2 linked regions of the Styela clava genome follow. The protein of the gene in region 1 purifies or fractionates together with the protein of each later gene. This does not show direct contact. Links are inferred from orthologs where the notes say so. Each region holds a gene or a part of one and is shown on either strand. Other genes may lie near its edges.

The links.
Region 2: the proteins of akirin-2-like (region 1) and importin-9-like purify together in Homo sapiens (affinity purification with mass spectrometry; 3 studies listed by BioGRID and IntAct, counting the BioPlex papers as one, with this or other methods). This does not show direct contact. The link is inferred for Styela clava from reciprocal best matches to the Homo sapiens genes AKIRIN2 and IPO9.

Annotation. Positions count from the first base shown.
Region 1 is NC_135250.1:29,924,013-29,933,684, reverse strand, and holds the start of akirin-2-like, read left to right. Parts: upstream 1-5,566; 5' UTR 5,567-5,725; intron 5,726-5,896; exon of another isoform or gene 5,897-5,918; intron 5,919-6,776; 5' UTR 6,777-6,783; coding exon 6,784-7,027; intron 7,028-8,745; coding exon 8,746-8,883; intron 8,884-9,672. UniProt on the Homo sapiens protein: Molecular adapter that acts as a bridge between a variety of multiprotein complexes, and which is involved in embryonic development, immunity, myogenesis and brain development.
Region 2 is NC_135255.1:22,593,105-22,601,967, reverse strand, and holds the start of importin-9-like, read left to right. Parts: upstream 1-4,749; 5' UTR 4,750-4,848; coding exon 4,849-7,669; intron 7,670-8,159; coding exon 8,160-8,440; 3' UTR 8,441-8,863. Other genes in the region: T-complex protein 1 subunit beta-like, read left to right, coding at 775-916, 1,672-1,699. UniProt on the Homo sapiens protein: Nuclear transport receptor that mediates nuclear import of proteins, such as histones, proteasome and actin. Serves as receptor for nuclear localization signals (NLS) in cargo substrates.

The sequences.
Region 1 (9,672 bases):
GAATCGAATAGTAAATTATTCGAATCGGTTCAGAACGAAATTTCGAATCGCCGCCATCTTGTTTTTTTCCTTTCTGCCAATTATCGAGATAAATTTCTCAATTTTTTTTTTATTGGAGCCATATTTTTTCAACGGAATCCTGACATGAGACTCTTTTCTGTAGTGAGTTATTGACGAAAACGTGTTTTTTCATGGTGTGTGAACACTCAGCAATCTGTCTGAGTGATGTTTCCAGTAATTTATGTGTCTGGAACACCCAATACAATAGGAAAGTTACATACAATTATATATATCCCAAGTATTTGAGATTCGATTCGAAAAAAATATTCGATTCGATTCTGAAATCATCAGGTATTCGAAAATGCCCTGCCCTACTAAAAACACGCGTATTCCAGCGTTCGATCGGATCCGCTAGCAGTTTCGATGTAACTTGGTAAAAAAATTCAGAACCCCCCCATTTGGCTACGCCCCTGCTATAGACATAAACAAACTGGTAAACCACACGTCTTACGGCCTGATAGAATAGGTATTTATTTCAAAAGCATGAAATACCAAAAGAGCCAGATGAACAATCACAAAACACAAAAAAAGTTGTTTGGATCTAAATTAGAGTAAGACTAAATGGTTTAAAAAGTGAATAGTTTGTCGCAGTTATACACAAATAATAACACTTGACGTTACAATTCAGTCATAATTTAGACGGAGACAAACGAGAGAAAACTTCTCTCTCCTTTAACATTGTTAATATAGAGGACTTGCACTGGTCACGTGACTTTGTTTACTGGACGGCAAAAAAAAACAACGTCCATTTGGCTCCTGTCAATTGCAAGTCGGATTATAAGTTTCCGTTTTGTTTGGCTGTTGAAAATGGTTATTTCGTATTGTTCCGTTGGCTGTACGTATAGTATAGACCAGTGATCCCCAAAGTGGGCGATATCGCCCCACGGTGGGCGATAACGCTACAGAGGGGGGCGAAAAAGCCGAAGGGGCGATTTCTAGAAACCTGTCTTTGTTCGTCGCATCGTGCACTTGATTACTGTACTCTGCGTGCTTTCGTGTGTTTGAATCACGTAGGCGATTATCACACGCGAAAGGATTGCTGGACTCGTCTACGCAGTAAGATACGGTCGTTTCGGTATCCCAGTGGTCGCCAAAATACGGCAGCCGAAGTAAATCTGTTTTTTGAAAGTACCAGTCAAGAATTTTAGCCTAGTCTATCAAAGATATTTCTACACCAAATTTTTGCCTACTGTAAATAAACTGAAACTTCTGGGGAGACAAAGTGATCATTGGCTTATTTTATTTATATTTCCGAAAAACAACTAAAAACTAACGAATATAATTCATAAACGACAAAATGAGTTAATTTTCACGACCACGCCTGAAAATCTGTCTGAGTGAGAAATGTGTCAGAGCGGATGCAAAAAGGGGCATTGTTACGTTTATTTTTGCATCTTTCTGAATGGCCAATGTCACGAAGTAAACAAGGAAGTCTATGCCCGGGGAAACATCCAAACGGCGGTTTTGGCGATGAATTAATTTTATTTACAATCTACGCTCGAGGAGTAAATTACATTTTTTTTATATAACAGAATCTATCGTGAGGCACGTTTAGACAAAATTTTATTATATCCTCAAAATTTTATTAAACAGCTTCTCGTTTAACGAGCCTACAATTCAATTATAATTAGATAATAGGAAACACGCAGAAAAGTTGATGCTGAGTGCAGGGGTTCAATTGCGCAGTAAATATTAGAGTATATTGCAATGCAATAAGAAATAATATTCATATTCTATTTGAGGGATTCATCACTGCTTAATTTTTGTAAGAGTGTATCTTCTTAAAGAAAATCTGTATCAAAATTTGACAAACCATGCGATAACATTCATTTCGATGTTTGGAAGTACATATGTGTGCGAACAATTATTTTCGAAAACGAACATTACAAAGAACAAGCTAGAACTAGGATTAGTGATGCCCATTTAGAAAATCTTCCAATCTTGGCGTCGTAAAGCTATCAAGCGTGATGCAGCAACAAGACAGTGTCACATTAAATGTCATTGTAATAATTTTTTAATAAGACGACTGAGTTGAGTTCACGAATTGTCGCGGTTTTTGCCCGATGTTCCGTTTTTTAACTTCAAAAAATATATGCGACCCGCAAAAGATTAGCAATCCTAAATGAAAAATGGGGTGAATTTAGAGAGTTAAATGCTATAAAGCAAGAGTACATGGCGTTTTTTTGAGGAGGTAGAACCCTAGATTCTTTCATTTCCGACCGCTAATATGATGAGGGGTTTTCAGCTGTGCTACTATTGCTATCAAAACAACGAAATCGCCTTTCCATCAGTAAACAGGGTAATTTTAGATATTATAAAAAACTCGCTGAAGAACACCAAGCTCATCCATCTCATTAAAAAATACTATAAACTATGATTTGTCTCGTTATTCGGTCTGTAATATTTTCGTTCCAGACTTTACATTTTTTTCACAGTGGTGGGGGGGGGGGGGGGGTATGGGGGGTCGATGGACTTGTATGTATGTATGCGATGTATAAACTACTGTTTGGGGGCGACGATACAAAAAGTTTGGGAACCACTGGTATTGACAACGAAATGGATCTTCAGTTATATTCCAGTGTTTTCAAAAGATCCGGAACGTCGCGCAATGTGGATATCATCTATTGGCAGGACTGCTTGGTGTCAAGTCCAGAAGTCATCTCGCTTGTGTTTCACTGTTTACGGACAGCACTTCGTTGATGGTGAGTGATAATGTACTGTTATCAATTTCTTTAAATATTCATAAACTCCTTCACTCCAGTGGAAAGCAGATGACAAACTACTGTTATTGGTAGGCCTAGGCGTAGACTTGCCTTGTGTGAGGAATTAATCATCAATTGCCATAAGGCAGTGTTTCCCAACCCTGAGCGTTTGAATGAGTCCGCATCGACCGAGAAATTTAGCCACGTTGCGATTTACGCTAGAATTTACATAAAACATCAAAAGCAAGTTTAGTAACATAACATCAATCGAGTCAATAATTATTGGTTACTGAGTATATCTGGGCATATATTCGAATATTCAACTATTAGAATAGCAATTTACTATTCGAAAATTTGGTAACTGGTGACGCGATAGGTCACTTGCGCTCAATCTGACGATTGGATTTTACGGTGACCGTGCATTTGAACCCACGTACATTTAAACCCATGTGTATATCTGCGGGTTAAGTCTATATGCGAGTTCTAAAACCCATGGATTCAAATATCCGTAAAACAAAAACAAAATTTCCATAGGTGCAATAGTATGCAGGTGCATATGTCGTGGGTTCAAATGTACGTGGTTTTAAATGTAATGGAACCGGATTTCACAACTCACTTGCGGATTTCCGACGAAAACACGAATCTGCACACGCTTCGATAAATACCTAAGTGGTGTTTCTTGCGAGTTCTCACAACGAGGAATATTTTTTTTTCTGGTTGGTGTCAATGGTGGCAACCCAAATTTTCTAAATAGAAAAGCGGCAATACAAAATACCAAAAATAAAACGAAGAACACCATAATTTTTGTTTTATGATGGTCCGCGCCCGATTAAAAACGCTTTTTAGACATTGCAAATCGCGAAATTTTGGATGCTACCGTACCAGGGCATTTTCCCTTAGGATTCTTTGCTTTACTGCCTCTACATTGGTACGTACAGTACTGCCGTAGGTGTTGTACGAACAGCTCAGATTTGACGAATTCACAAAAATACGAATCAAAACAAAATATAATTGGGTACTTTACCACGCATTTTAGTGTTCACGGATTGTCATCATATTTTCTGAGTACTATTGCTTTTATTTCGTCAACACAACCGCAGATTAAAATGACCACAATAAAATTAATAATAAACCATGGCGATGAACATGTATTTTTGATTTACTAATATACTTCAAATAAATTTTTAAGAAGTACTAAATCAAGTTGTACTTTCTAAAAATTTATAGCAGATAGTAGGATTTTTCTAACGGCGATAACGAACTCGCAAGATCGCAAGAAATATGCTTCAAAACTAAGTATAATCGGACAATATATTCTCACATTATTATGTTCACAGATTGCAATTGAATTTTAGAGAAGTAATGCTTTCATCTTGTCGTAATTTAACGCAACCGCGAATTATCATGAACACAATTAAGTTAAAATAGGAATTCATCTTAAATTCTCGCCGTTGTCATGTATTGAATATTGTGCGAAAGAAAAGGTCATTGTTGAAATTCGTTAAATTTTTGTTGTGTTCGGTTTCAATGCCTGTTCACACATAGTATACGGTTGCAATAAACTCACAGTGAGTCGGCAAAGGGTTTTGCCGGTGAGAAAATAGTCCGCGACCAAAAAAGGTTGGGAAACACTGCCATAAGTTATTGTTTCCCTAGTTAGCAGGTAATCTATTAGTAAGTGTTAATAGTTGAATAAATAACTAAAGTTTAACGGCAGTGCTTATGCAAAAATACCCAAAAATCAATTGAATTCGCCATCTAGGAATACGCTCACAACCGCATCTTTGATCACCCTGGTAATTTCACAGGTTCCAATCCCATGCGGGGATGGTTATGTGCAATGAGGATTGCAGCTCTCCTCCCAATGAGGGTGGTTCACACGACCGCTGGTCGATTACGACATCCTTCACCATCAAGTCCATGCTTCTGAAAACAAATAACTGGCTAACTAATCCCGACATACAATGGTAATCGTACGATGTTGCACCTTGCAATCCTCCCCATGATTGTCTGATTGTTTCGTTAATTAGCAGGTAAACTATTACTGATCTGATACACTAACTTGACACTGTCAAATGATGATTAGTGTTTAATTTCTTTTCAAGAAAAAGGAAAGATAACCCATTATCAGCTGCTTATGTCCCATCAATATTTGAATTTTCGCCATCTCCAGAGAGAAAAAGAATAGCTAGAAAAGGGGGATTTTAAAGAAAGGAAAAAGGCAGGACCATTTCAACAAATTTGTTAACTTGTATGCGTTGCAATATCACTTTGCAGTTGTTAGCATAAACATTTAATGTGTCTTTCGACTAGACCTACCACACTTCAAAAAAGCCGCCTATACCCATTTTCACTGGAACAATAACACTGTAAAATATTTTATCATCATCATATCTTCCATTTGAAAGGAATTCCAATATACGTACAGCCAACGGAACAATACGAAATAACCAATTTCAACACCTAAACAAAACGAAACGTATAATCCGACTTACAACTGACAGGAGCCAAATGGACGTTTTTGTTTTTATGCCGACCAGTAAACAAAGTCACGTGACCCGTGCAAGTCCTCTCTATTCAAGTCCATGCATATTGAACGAAAAACTGACTAATTAAACCCATATCCTACATGGACTGATGACTGGACGAGGGGCCGTGGTTCGCTCTATGATTGAGCCGTTTTACCGGCTCTTCCTCACCCCGGGATAAATATGAAAAATCTCCAAATATGAAACATACACTATTCCGGGTAGCGGGCGAGTTATTTGGGTCACGGTTAAATGAATTTTGAAAAACACCTAGCGCCCACATGTGGCCAATTTTAATTTCGTTCCCTGGCGAGCTTTTCTTTCTTCGTTCTTCTGTGTTAGTGACTTTGTGTTTTCTTACCAGTTCTTGAAGTAAAATATTGAAGAAATAATCCCAGAAGACATTTACGCGAAATAACAAGCTGCGGGAGGGTGGTGAGTTTATAATTTATTTTTGTTGTGTAGAAATGATTTACGTCCGGCCGTGAAAGTAGGTACCGGTATATCGTATTGTTGTAACGACACGGTACCGGTACCGCCACCGGTAGGCCACTGTCTGACTGTATTCAGCCATTATTACGGTACCAAGAAATAAGTGTTTGGGTTGGTGGATAATTGAGATTTCAAGGTATTTTACAAGTTTAGATTAGGATAACTCACTAGTCTGTTAGTTTACTCTGAATTCAGAAATTTTGTTTGTGATTGTCTGCTTTCATACCGGTACCGTACTTTTTTAAGGATTCGAGAAGAATGCTTAATTAATTAGAAAATAATTATATTTATGAAATGGTACGATACCGGTACTACAGTTCCATACGATACGACAATAAACCAAACTGTAATACTGTATTACAGCAATAAAATAGTATTCATGTCTGTAGGTATTGAAACCCAGAAACCAGAATCGGAATTTTTTTGATTTGTCAGAATTTCAAGGTTCAGGACTTGAAATGATGATCTCACAGAAACATGACCGAGCATTCTCAACAGAAGATTTATATTTACATACAATTCCATATTGAAACATATGTTTAATATTGACTTTCCCGAATTTAAACTCAGAATTATTCTTAAACTTCGAATCTATAATCAAAAAAGTTCAAAATTTTTTCAATCCGGATTCTGTAGTTAGATTCATATTTGAAATGGCTCAGAATCTGACTCATTTTCTTTCCAACTCCACAGCCAAGTTTGAAAAGTTTTCTAAAAATACAAAAGCCCAAAAAGTTATTACATTCGCGTATCTTTTGTTTCTCTGTTTCTTGTTTTAGCCACATTTAACCAGCTTTATGTTTCTGTAATTTTTTCTTGTATTTGTACTGGTGGGCGGGCACATTATATTTCTCATGTTTTAATTAAACCCTTTTTAAAAGTTTTGCTCGCTCACCGAAATTCCTCCGTTTTTAATTTGTGTGTATTATGGAGTTTTCAAAATAAATTATCTGAAATCTGTTGTTTAGTATCATACATGTAATGTATTTTTCAGAATATCGATGGCTTGCGGGGCGACTTTAAAAAGAAGTTTGGACTTTGATCCTTTGCACACTGTGGTATCAACCTCCCCAAGTCATGCCCCAATTGTTGCAAGAACACCACCTAGCAAGCGTCGTCGATTATCTCCTCGTTGCGGATCAGTTTTCTCGAACGCAGAATGTCGAATGTCATCAGGATCTCCTTCTCAGTCTTCGTCTTCTTTAAATCCGTCTCCGTTCAAGCCAATGCACCCAATTTCGTCAGGTAATATATGACATGTTTATTATATTTTAGTAAGTTTGATACAATTACTCTGTACAGCGAGTCGTCGACTTACGACGTTGTTCCATTCTTGAGACGCAGTGTAACCCGAATTTCAGTTTAAGTCGGAACATTATAGCCTACATAAATTACTCTATACATAATGTACTGTATTGTAAAGTATGGTACAGTAATAAAATGTACAAATAATGCAAAAAGTACGATGTAAATGACGAAAACCAATGAGCCCAAAGCACTGATTTTCTTGATCATAATGATCCAGTTTAAGGGCTTTGATATTACAGTACAGTATTACCTTTTATATTTTTATGGAGTGCGTCTGTAACCTCGAAACAGCGTTATGGAGTGCGCGTTCGTAACTTCGAAACAGCGTAAGTCGCGTCGCGACTGTCGTAACCCGAGGACTCCCTGTATTTGGATAACACCAACACCAACCCCTTCTATATACAACTCGGGCTGGGGAATTTGAATTTAATGGAAAATTATTTGAATTGGTTTAGACAAAAATTGATAAAACATGTTTGTTATTGTGTGTGAACATTCAGCACCCTGACTGAGTGACGAATTCTATGTTTTCTATGTGTCTAAAGTGGGGACGCACAACTCAAATAAGAATGTGTGCCATAGTTTTCAAAATAATCTTGTGTGTCATTCCAAGTTCGAATAATTGTTGCTGTTGGTATTGTAAACAAACTTAAAACACATATTAATAATAAAAAACTATCAACTCGAACTATTAATATCCTATTGGCGGTATTGAAGGCAATGTATTAAGTTTATTTCAATATAAGGTATATTTAGTTTCTTTATTATAAATAACATGTTACTCTTTACCAAACCGATCATGTGCCACATTCAAAATCATGCCATGCCACATTGGGCACACATGCCCTGCGTTGTGCACCCCTAGTCTGGAGGACCCATTGCATTAATAAAGTCACTTTGTCCCTACACCATTTGTATTAATTTATTTATCTTCCAATTATTTGACATTCGATTTGATTCCGAAATCATCAGGTATATGAAAATGCCCAGCCCTAGTAACAACTTGGGTTCGCAATGCTGAAGCAGAAAGATCCCTATTTTTCCTAGATGTAATAGCTCCTCTCTATATGGAAAAAAACTAATTGAAGACTTGTAATGGATCCCATATCGCTTTATTATTGAGATGTCTTGTTGCTTCTCATCGAAGATTAGAAAAGGAATTGAAATCGGGGATGGACAAATCTGAGTATTTCACTATATACATTCTAAGAAAATGTCTCGAATGTGGAACATCAAATATGTTTTTAATTGGGATCAAGTTTTTTTGAAAGATTACATAACTGTTTTTTTACCAGTTCATCGACCGTTTTGATCTGCCTGTCGGGCAGCTTAGAATCCCCAATTTTTAAATTGAAATGTTCTAAATTATTCCTAAATTCAAAATTTATGATATTGAATATAATAAATTTAGAATGTATTAGAAGATTTAATTCGTATTGGAAATAGTAAACATTCAGTTTTGTCCATTCCTGATTTCAATCAGTTCTTTAATTTTGGATGAGGAGAGACTTCAAATGTTCGATTCGTTAACATCTCAAGTTGAAATACAATTGAACGAAATGATACCTCATTCTTTTTGGTATTAATATAATTTGTCTCAAAATTCTAAGCAGATATATTAGATATCACATTAAAATTTTACATTCAATTTTCAGAGGCGATTTTGAAGAATATATTTGATGAATACAAAAGAATGAAAAGGCGTCGGCAACTACAATTGACACCGGATACTCCATCGGCCTCCGATACTGGAACCCAAAACTTGCAGAATTTCACTCTGGCCCATGCATCTGGTGAGTAGTAAAAAAAGCAAGGTACTCCTGTAGTATGTGAACCAAGATGGCGGACACCGGATTGTAGTATGTGTCCCAGGTTAGGGTTAGGCTATAATTTCAGGTACAAATATTACAGGAGTCACTTGACCAGTCCCCGAACAGTCATATAACATATTAAAAAATTTTTAAACCTAACCAAATATTATAAAAATTTGGTGTAAAATATCAGGCTTTTTGAACTCTATTTTCGAAAATTTGAAGAAAAAAAATTTAAACTAATGGCTTTCTAGCGATGTCTCCCATCTTGTTAAAAGTACTGTATATTTAAAATAACTTGATTCATTAGCCTAGAAAAGCAACAACATGGATATATAACAATAACAATTTAGAAAAACAATTCTTACCATGTTTACCCGAAAATAAGACAGTAATCAAATTTCTTTCGAAAAGTAACCCTAGTGCTTATTTTTGGGGAATGTCCTTTATTTTTCATTTATCTAAAACAAAATTACAACGTGTTTCTTGCGATTGACGGTATCGAACATGTCTTATTTTAGGGGGAGGACTCATATTAAAATCATTTTTAAAGTTCAGGCTAGGTCTCATTTTGGGGAAACACCGTAGGTCCATCTTATCTCCAAAAATGAGTTTTTTGAACGCATTGTATTTAAAATCTTTGAAAATTACTATCTGATGTCGCAGGTATAGCAAATACCAAATATTTCATTATTGCGAATACTGAAAAAATATTTTTGAATATGGAACTTTGAATAAGTTCTAAATTGGGGGTAATTTCATGTGGAAAAT
Region 2 (8,863 bases), on another chromosome or scaffold:
CAACGCAGAGCCTATCCAAGCCGAGATATCATGGGTTGTCTACGGTTGCAGATAAAAGCTTGGCCCACTTGTCCATAAAATCTGATATTAAAACTGCAAAGAGCTGCCATTTTCAAAAAATACATTTATAAATATGAATCCTAAACCAAATTGTTGTTGCACTGAATATATTTTAAAAACGTTCTGGAATTTTAATCATTTTATATCTTCCATGAATTTACAAATGCCAATTTGTATCTGATATCTCCGATATTTGTTTCAAAATTTGCTGCCAATTGATCTGTTATCGTAGTTTGTTGAAGTTGGCCCAAAGCAAGGTTGTAAGACATCTGCTGAATGCAAAATGAGCGCAGAGATGATAGAAGTTTGAAAGGTTTACACACTTAGATCTTTGGTTCATACTAACGGAGTAGAGTATAATCTAAACCAGGAATTTCCAAAAAAAAGGGGGGGGGTTTCAAAATCAGAAATCCCCATTTTCTTCTAATATAGTCGTCATGATTTCGGGTCCGTTAGAAAGGGCAACTTTTTCGATGTATAATGTAATATAGCATAACATCATTTTTGTTTCGGTAGAATGCAAGCGCATGCATTATTGGTGACTATTTCAATCTTCCAAAATTTTCAAAGGGGGGGGGGGGGGACATATTGGTCATCTATTACACTTCAGTTGAAGTACTCCTGCAAAATATTATTGCATTCAGATTTCAATAGCGAACTTTATTATCAAAATACTATTTACTCCTTGTTTTTGACATTACTGTTCCATTCCAGACATGAACCAGGGAACTGTTGGTGACATGAAAGAACTTGGCATCACTGAATCCTTCCAAGTGAAACGACAAGTGCTGATGAGCGCTTCGGAGGCCGCAGAAATGATTCTCAGAGTTGATGACATCATAAGGGCTGCTCCGAGGTAATTTGTTTGAGATGAATTATTATTATTAAGTTATGTGATAGGTATAAAAAGCAAAAGCGATGGAAGGAAGAAATAAATGAGCTGTGTCTTGACCATAGGTGGTTGCTTCTGGCTTTTTCTCATCGTGGGGGGTGTTAGTGTCCTTGTGACTCGAATTAGAATAAAAATTATGGAAAAAATTTTTGTTGTTTAAAAATTCACTTCGTTAAATTTAAGATATTCAAAAGTAATGCTGCTAGAAAAATGAAGTTTTTGAAAAACACTAGAAACCATGCTAAAACGTTAAAAAACAGTAAAAAAAACGCCAAAAAAACCCTAGAGCCTTGCTAAAACATTCAAAAACAGTGAAAAACCATCAAAAAACACTAGAAACCAAGCTGAAACGTTCAAAAAATAAAAGTTTCCATGAATTCAGTAATTACAATTTTTTTTTCAAAATATTGTGCTTTTTTTGCAGAAAAATTATATTTCTTTTAACTTTTCTTGATTAAAATTAAGGATATAAGAATCATTTTCTTATAAAATAAAATATTCAAAATTTCAAGATGTTCGAATTCCCTCTCCTAATTCCGTTCTATATGTATATGTCTAGTTGATGTGAAACACTCAAAATTGATTTATGTGAAGCTATTTTCAAGGTTTAAGGAAATATGTTGTGAGTGTTTTCGGTGAAATAAGACCCCTTTTCATTATTCAACCATGCCATTCTTTTGCACTTTTTATTTCAGAATAATGTATATTTTTACTTTTAGACAAAGAAGACCAGATCACCCTCACTGATTTAACAAATTGTGTAGTCCCAGGGAGTCTATGTGATGTCACAGTGTGTGTTTACTGTTCCATTGTTCAACAATGTCATCAGTGTGTTTTGCATGATCATCATTTGTATGCCAGAAATAATAAAAATACAACCATTTTGTAGCTACTGCGTTTTGAATTTAGGAAGTGGCCTATTAGATTCTATATATAGGGCCATGTATGCTAAATATTTGGAATATGTGTGTGTTGTTCAAATGTGGAATTATTATTGCACTCGTGAAATGTTCGAGGACGTCAATTATCTTAAGGCCGTTGCCTGGTGGATTGCAATTTGCCCACTTTGGAGCAGTTTCCGAGCGCAAAGAGGCCTATTTTCGAAGGGAGTCGCTTTGTAACAGTCGCCGGAATGACTACCATTAAGATTGCTGATACCTTAAATCACTTATGAGTTGTGACAATTCCGGTCTGCGGTCACTCTGTTGGCTTTGCCGAATATCCAGTGAGTTTTGTTTTTGCGAAAAAATAATCCGATTCCTTTATGTGTACTCTGCGACACCGCTGGTCGACTGCCGATTTCCCCCATTTTTGGGCTGACGACACACTATGGTTGGGAATTTCACATTTATCCCGAGGAATAGAGAAGTCGATGAGATTGCTTGATCCTATCTCAGAGGTTCAAGTAACCGCTGGTCGATTATGGCGTGCTCTACCATCAGGTCCATGTTTCCGAAAACAAATAACTAATCCGACATAGGCTTGTAACCGGACGAGAGGCCGTGGTTAGCCATATCATTGAGCCTTCTTATCGGTTCTCCCCTCCCTCGGGATAAATATGTAACCCTCACAAAAACCACCCCTAGCCACTGTTGCTCGTCCGATCCCCAGTTCATGTCAGGTATGGTTATAGTCAATCTGTTATTGGTTACTGATGCATGGACGTGGTTCCCTTTATGATTAAACCGTTTTTCATGTTTTCTACTCCGTGATAGATACGAAACGCTTCTTTCAATGAAGAAAACAAAGAGTCGAAGCTTACGCACAAATTTCGTAATCAATCGCCTGGCAGAGGAGTACACGTTGATTCATATTTTTGAGTGACTTGACTCTTTGTTGCTTGTTTGAGTTCAAATACTTGAGAAGTAAAACAAATTCACTGTAAATATTCTAAAAGTGTATTCGATGGGCCTTTCCCCGACCTTTGACCCCCGAAAAATTCTTCCTATACTTCACCATTGCAAAATTTTCGGGGCTATTTTAAAGTGCTTTTCCGAGTTGGCGCCTGTAAAATGGGGTATATGTTTCAAATGATCATTATGATTCATTGCATACAACAATCTCTTTTTTAAAACTACCGGTAAAGAATTTCAGGCTAATCTATCACAGCTATTTCTACACTAAATTTTGTTACTGCATCTAAATTAAAACTCCTAGGAAGAAAGAGTGATCATTGAATTATCTGATTTATATTTAAGTTTCCGAAACACAACTGAAAACTAACGAATAGAGTTCAAAAACGCAAAAACGAGGTAATGTTTACAACCACGCTTGAAAATCTGTCTGAGTGAGAAAAGTGTCTAAGCAGATGCGAAAGGTGGCATTGTTACGTCACGTTTTGCATCTTGCTGATTGGCCAATGTCACGAAGTAAACAAGGAAGTCGATGCTCGGGGAAAGGTCCATTGGACGATGCCGTAATGCGTCGAACTTGACGATAAATAACATGGCGACCGGTTATTTGAGCGTTTGACGTGACCATGCTTCCATAGAACATCGATGATCCTTGATTCAAATTTTATCTATAGGCTGTGATATTAGGTAGGTAATGTCGACCCAAAAAAATTTTGGTCTTTTTAAAATAATATCAATGAAGGCTCGTACAAATTGTTGTGGCTCGGTGGTGTGGCGCATCGTGCTAAGCCTTAGAAATACGCTCGCCACCGCATCTCTGATTACCCTTCGTGGCTTCGCAGGTTCGAATCCCATGCGGGGATGATCATGTGCGAGAAGATTGCTGAACTACTCGCCGCCGTAGGGTGGTTCACGTAACCGCTGGTCGGTTCCTCCACCATCAAGTCCATGCTTCCGAAAACAAAAATAACTGGCTAACGAATCCCATACCCGACCTGGACTGGTAACCGGGCGAGAGGCCGTGGTTCGCCATATGATCAAGCTGTCTTATCGGCTTTCCTCTCCCCCGGGATAAATATGTAAATCCTATCCTATCCTTTTAACCTCTGACCTCAGGAATGGTAAATGAAACACCACTACATATTCGCGCCATTCTCGCGGTCGTCGTTAACGCTGATTTTAGGGAGTTTGATATGGATTTATGAATTGATTTTCAGCATAACAGTTGCCTTCGAGTGCGTTTTTATCCTGTGACTCGAGCAATTAGTTAGCATCTTAAACAATATGTGACAGGATGGGACGTTCGTTATCTTAAGCTTAACTCTGTAACTGCATTACTTATACCGGTCCAGCCGGTCTGCCGGTAGCACTGCGGGCTTGCGCCCCTTACAGCCTTACATTCTGTACATTCGGTACCGGTAATAGCAGTTGTTAATGGTTTGTAATGACAGTCAGACAGTAGACTACAAGTTCATAAACACTCCAGTCGCCATTTCGAGTCAGAGTTCGTATAAATCTTGAGTCTAATTAATGAGTTCAGATGTCACCTCAGCACTTGCATTCACTCAGTCCAACTTCCCGGTTAAACCAAAAACACCAAATTTGTAAAAGCCAGAAAGCCAAATTTGTAAAAGCCAGATATTGCTTTAAACTATGATTAGAAATTATCAGCATTTTCTTTGTAATATTTCCAAATGATGAAACTTCAGCATTTCAGTATTTATTATACAGTTATACGATAGGCATTTGTGTATAATACCAAGTACCGTAATAAGAGTGTGGTCCAGAATAAAAGCGCTATAACCACCCTCTAAACACCCCTCGGAGATGAAAAAATATTTTGATGCCACCCTGCTACCGGTACCAGTATTAGCTTGATGACTTTGGAACTTCAGAGCTTGGTTACTAATTACTAGAATATAATTCTTACAATTATTTTTTAGAAAGCAATGTTATAGGTGCTAAATGAAAATCAATTTATATATATTAGTATAACACTGTATATATGTGTCTCAATTCTTCTGAATTCGATATATCTTCATCATGGCACAGTCCGATAAAAACATGGCGGAACAAATCTTATCGACGTTGTCAGCAACAATGAACCCTGATCCTAATATTCGTCGAGCCGCGGAACAGGAAATCAAAATATTAGAAGTAACAGAAGATTTTTGCGTTCATCTTGCGAAAATAACAGTCGATCAAAGCTTTGATTTGTCATTACGACAGTTAGCGTCGCTTATATTGAAACAATATGTCGACACTCATTGGAGTTCTATTTCTGAGAAATTTTCTCCGCCGGAAGCAAGTGAAAACGCAAAGATTGCAATTCGACAGATGTTGCCAATTGGACTTGCTGATCCGCAGAGGAAAATCAGGACGTCAATTGCATATGCTATTTCTGCTATTGCTGGTTGGGATTGGCCTGAGAACTGGCCTGGATTATTCGAATCATTAATGCAAGCTTTAACCTCACAAGACCCTAATGCAGTGCATGGTGCGATGCGGGTTCTGACTGAATTTATCCGAGACGTAACAGACACTCATATGAATTCAGTTGTCCCAGTTTTATTGCCACAAATTTATAAAATATTTACAGAGACTGATTTATACAACATAAGAGTACGAAGTCGTGCGGTTTCAATTTTTAACACATGCGCCTCGTTTGCAAGTGAAATTGGAAATGCTAAGGACCCACTACGTGTTAACGTTAGTCAATTTCTGCCAAACTTTTTACAAGCTTATGTAAAAGTCCTCAAGATCTCTAACAGTGAGGTTTCTGATCCAGGATTAAAGAAAGAAGTGATGAAAACTCTCACGATTTTGCTTCGTGGCTTTGAAAAGGAGATAAAACATGTGATAGCAGAAATATTGCCTGCTGTGTGGGGGACATTCACAAATTGTGCTGAAATGTATGTGAAAAAGGAAGTAATGTCTGTAGAAGGCCATGACGATGCTGTGGACTCGGACGGTGAAGGAACAGGTTTTGAAAGCTTAGTATACTGTACGTTTGAATTCATCGAATGTATGTTAGAATTGAAGTCTTGTCGTGGAATTGTAAAGCAATCTCTCGAAGATTTAATCTATCATTTAATATTATACATGCAAGTTACAGAAGAACAGATTTCTATTTGGTCTGAAAACCCTGACCAATTTGTTCAAGACGAAGATGATGAAACGTTTTCATACAGCGTCCGTATTTCTGCTCAAGATTTGTTTCTTACCTGCTGTAGAGAGTTTCAAAGCGAGAGTGCAATAAATTTGATAAAAGCTGTGGATCGTCATGTACGTCTCGCTAACGAAGCTCGAATTTCGAGTCATCCTTGCTGGTGGAAATCTTACGAGGCATTAATGCTTGCATTGGGATCTGTGGAATCTCTTGTGTCACGAACAATTGAGGCAGGAAATGCAAATTTTGATGTCAATTTATTTATTACTAGCATCGTGCTGCCCAGTATAAAAGCTTCTGAGTTCCCTTTCCTTGTAGGACGTGCTATATGGGTTGCAAGCCGATTTACTTGTATGCTGCAACCAGATATGCTAACTCAATTTCTTGAATACACAGTCCATGGGTTAAAAGACAACCAACCCCCATCTATTAGGATTTCAGCAGTCCGAGCCGCTTGCAATTATTGCGATCATTTGGAGCAGATTGGCCAAACAGAGAAACTCAGTCCCTATTGTGCAAGCCTCTTGGAAGGATTAGTCCAACTTGCAATGCAAGCGAGTGTTGAAACTTTAGCTCTAGTTTTAGAAGCTATCGGAATTGTTCTCAAAGTTAATGATGATGTTACGGCTAAATACGAGCCCCAAATTACGTCACTAACTTTCAATCAATTTTTACGTCACAATAATGATCCATTTATCGTGTCTTTGTGTTCTGATGTCCTTGAAGTTCTCTCGGCCAATAAGAAATGTAACGGCAGCCTCGTGGATCACATCGCACCCGCATTGGCGAATATTTTCACCGGACCGCCGGCTAAAATATCAGCAAATTTGGTCGGGATATCACTGGAATTATTAACTGTTATCATTCGTAACACGGATCCCCCATTTTCAGATTTACTTGTTAAAAATTTGTTTCCAGTAGTTGTGAATTCTGTTACAAGTTCGGATGATAATTCTGTGATTCAAAATGGCGGTGACTGCATTAGAGCTTTTGTTTCTCGCTCACCGAGTCAAGTTATCTCCTGGACAGACCAAGAAGGCATCTCAGGCTGGCATTACGTTTTGCGTGTCGCTTCTCATCTCTTAGATCCTCAGCTATCTGAACATTCTGCTGCATTTGTTGGTCGTTTGGTCGGAGTCATGATACGAGAATGTGGGTCACAGTTACAAGAAGTTCTAGACCAGCTACTTCGTGCCGTTCTCAGTAAACTTCAGCAAGCAAAAACCCTTACTGTTACGCAGTCATTATTAATAATTTTTGCGTATTTATTCAAGCATGAACTTGTTCCGACACTCGAGTTTTTATCGAAAGTTCCAGGCCCGAAAGGCAATACAGCTCTTGAGTTTGTAATGACTGAATGGTGCGATAAACAGAATCTTTTCTACGGACATTATGACACAAAAGTTTGCATTTTAGCTTTAGCAGAACTTTTCAAACACGTAGTAGCGACGAATGACACTCGCATGAATGAAATTATGGTTAAAGGAGATCAAATATTCACTGACACCCCAACAGTTAGGACGAGATCTCGAGCTAAAAAAGAACCAGAAAAATGGACGTCTATACCTCTGCCATTGAAATTATTAAAAATTCTTATTGCCGAGTTAGGTCATGCAATAGATCTTGGAGAAGCTACAGAGACGGGAGTTGGAAACGGGAATGATGATGATGGATGGGAGGATGAAGATGACGAAGGTATTTGATAGTAAATTTTTGTCTAGCGCTACCTAGGGATTGAGTATTTTGTGAGCATCATGCATCACCATAATTTTTTATAGTTTCAGTAGCGCTTGGCACTCCAGTGACCAACTGTAATTTCAGTCATAAAAGAATTTTTTCTCTTTTTTCATATATGTGTGCGTGGACTTGCTTTGTTAAAAAATCTGTGTTTACTGGCTTCGAATAATTGCCTAGGTCAGACTACAATATGTGATAGACTCATTGTCAATCCTCAAACTGTTCCTTGTAGAGCAGTGGTTCTCAAACGGTGGGGTGCGCCCCACAAGGGGGGTGGGATGTAGACAAGCTAATTAAAAATAAAAATAAAATAAAAAAGTTTGAGAACCACTGTTTTGAAGTGAGTGCGCATGACTTTCGAGTTGAGAAATCTCCTTAAAAGATACAGTCATGATACCTTGAATTATTTTTTATGTCACTTATGCTGTCACTTATGTTTTTCATTCAGATGCCTTCGAGATCGATGAGCTTGGCAATGGCGATGCTGGTAACTCCAGAGTGACTTTATCAGAATTATTGGATTCCGTGAACGATGGATTCACCGCAGAAGATCTTGAAGGAGACGAGGATGACCCCGACGTGCTCGCTGATCCGTTAAATTCTTTAGAATTGCGGCAATATCTACTGGACTATTTTAGACAATTCTGTAACAGTTCAGCGCACAAACAGTACTTTGGTCAGCAGTTAAATAAGACTGAATTAGACATTCTAGCAAGAGTTGGACTGTAGGAAATTAAATAGCTTATAATTTTATAAGCGAATAATTAAGGCTGTAGTTGAACTAACAGGTTAGAAATGCTGAACCGAATTAAATTCAAATTCACCTACTGGATTTATTAGATTGCTTGTTAGCAGGTGCTTTGCAATTCAGTGTTTTGATAAGCAATCTGACTACAGTGGCATAGTCAGCGGAGGTTTGCCAGTCGGGGGTATAACAAACCCTGGAATTTTGTAATGACGGAAACACTGTCAATTTTGAATACCCTGTCATCAATTTTGAAAATACTGGCTGCACCCGTGATTTCATAAAGGTTACTGAGTCCTCAATACCTCCTCTGATAACAAAATTTGCCGAAACGGTCAGATTCAAAATGCAAGTTTTTCTGATACAGATCGTCTGACGAATATGGGCATGACCTATCAGTGGCATCA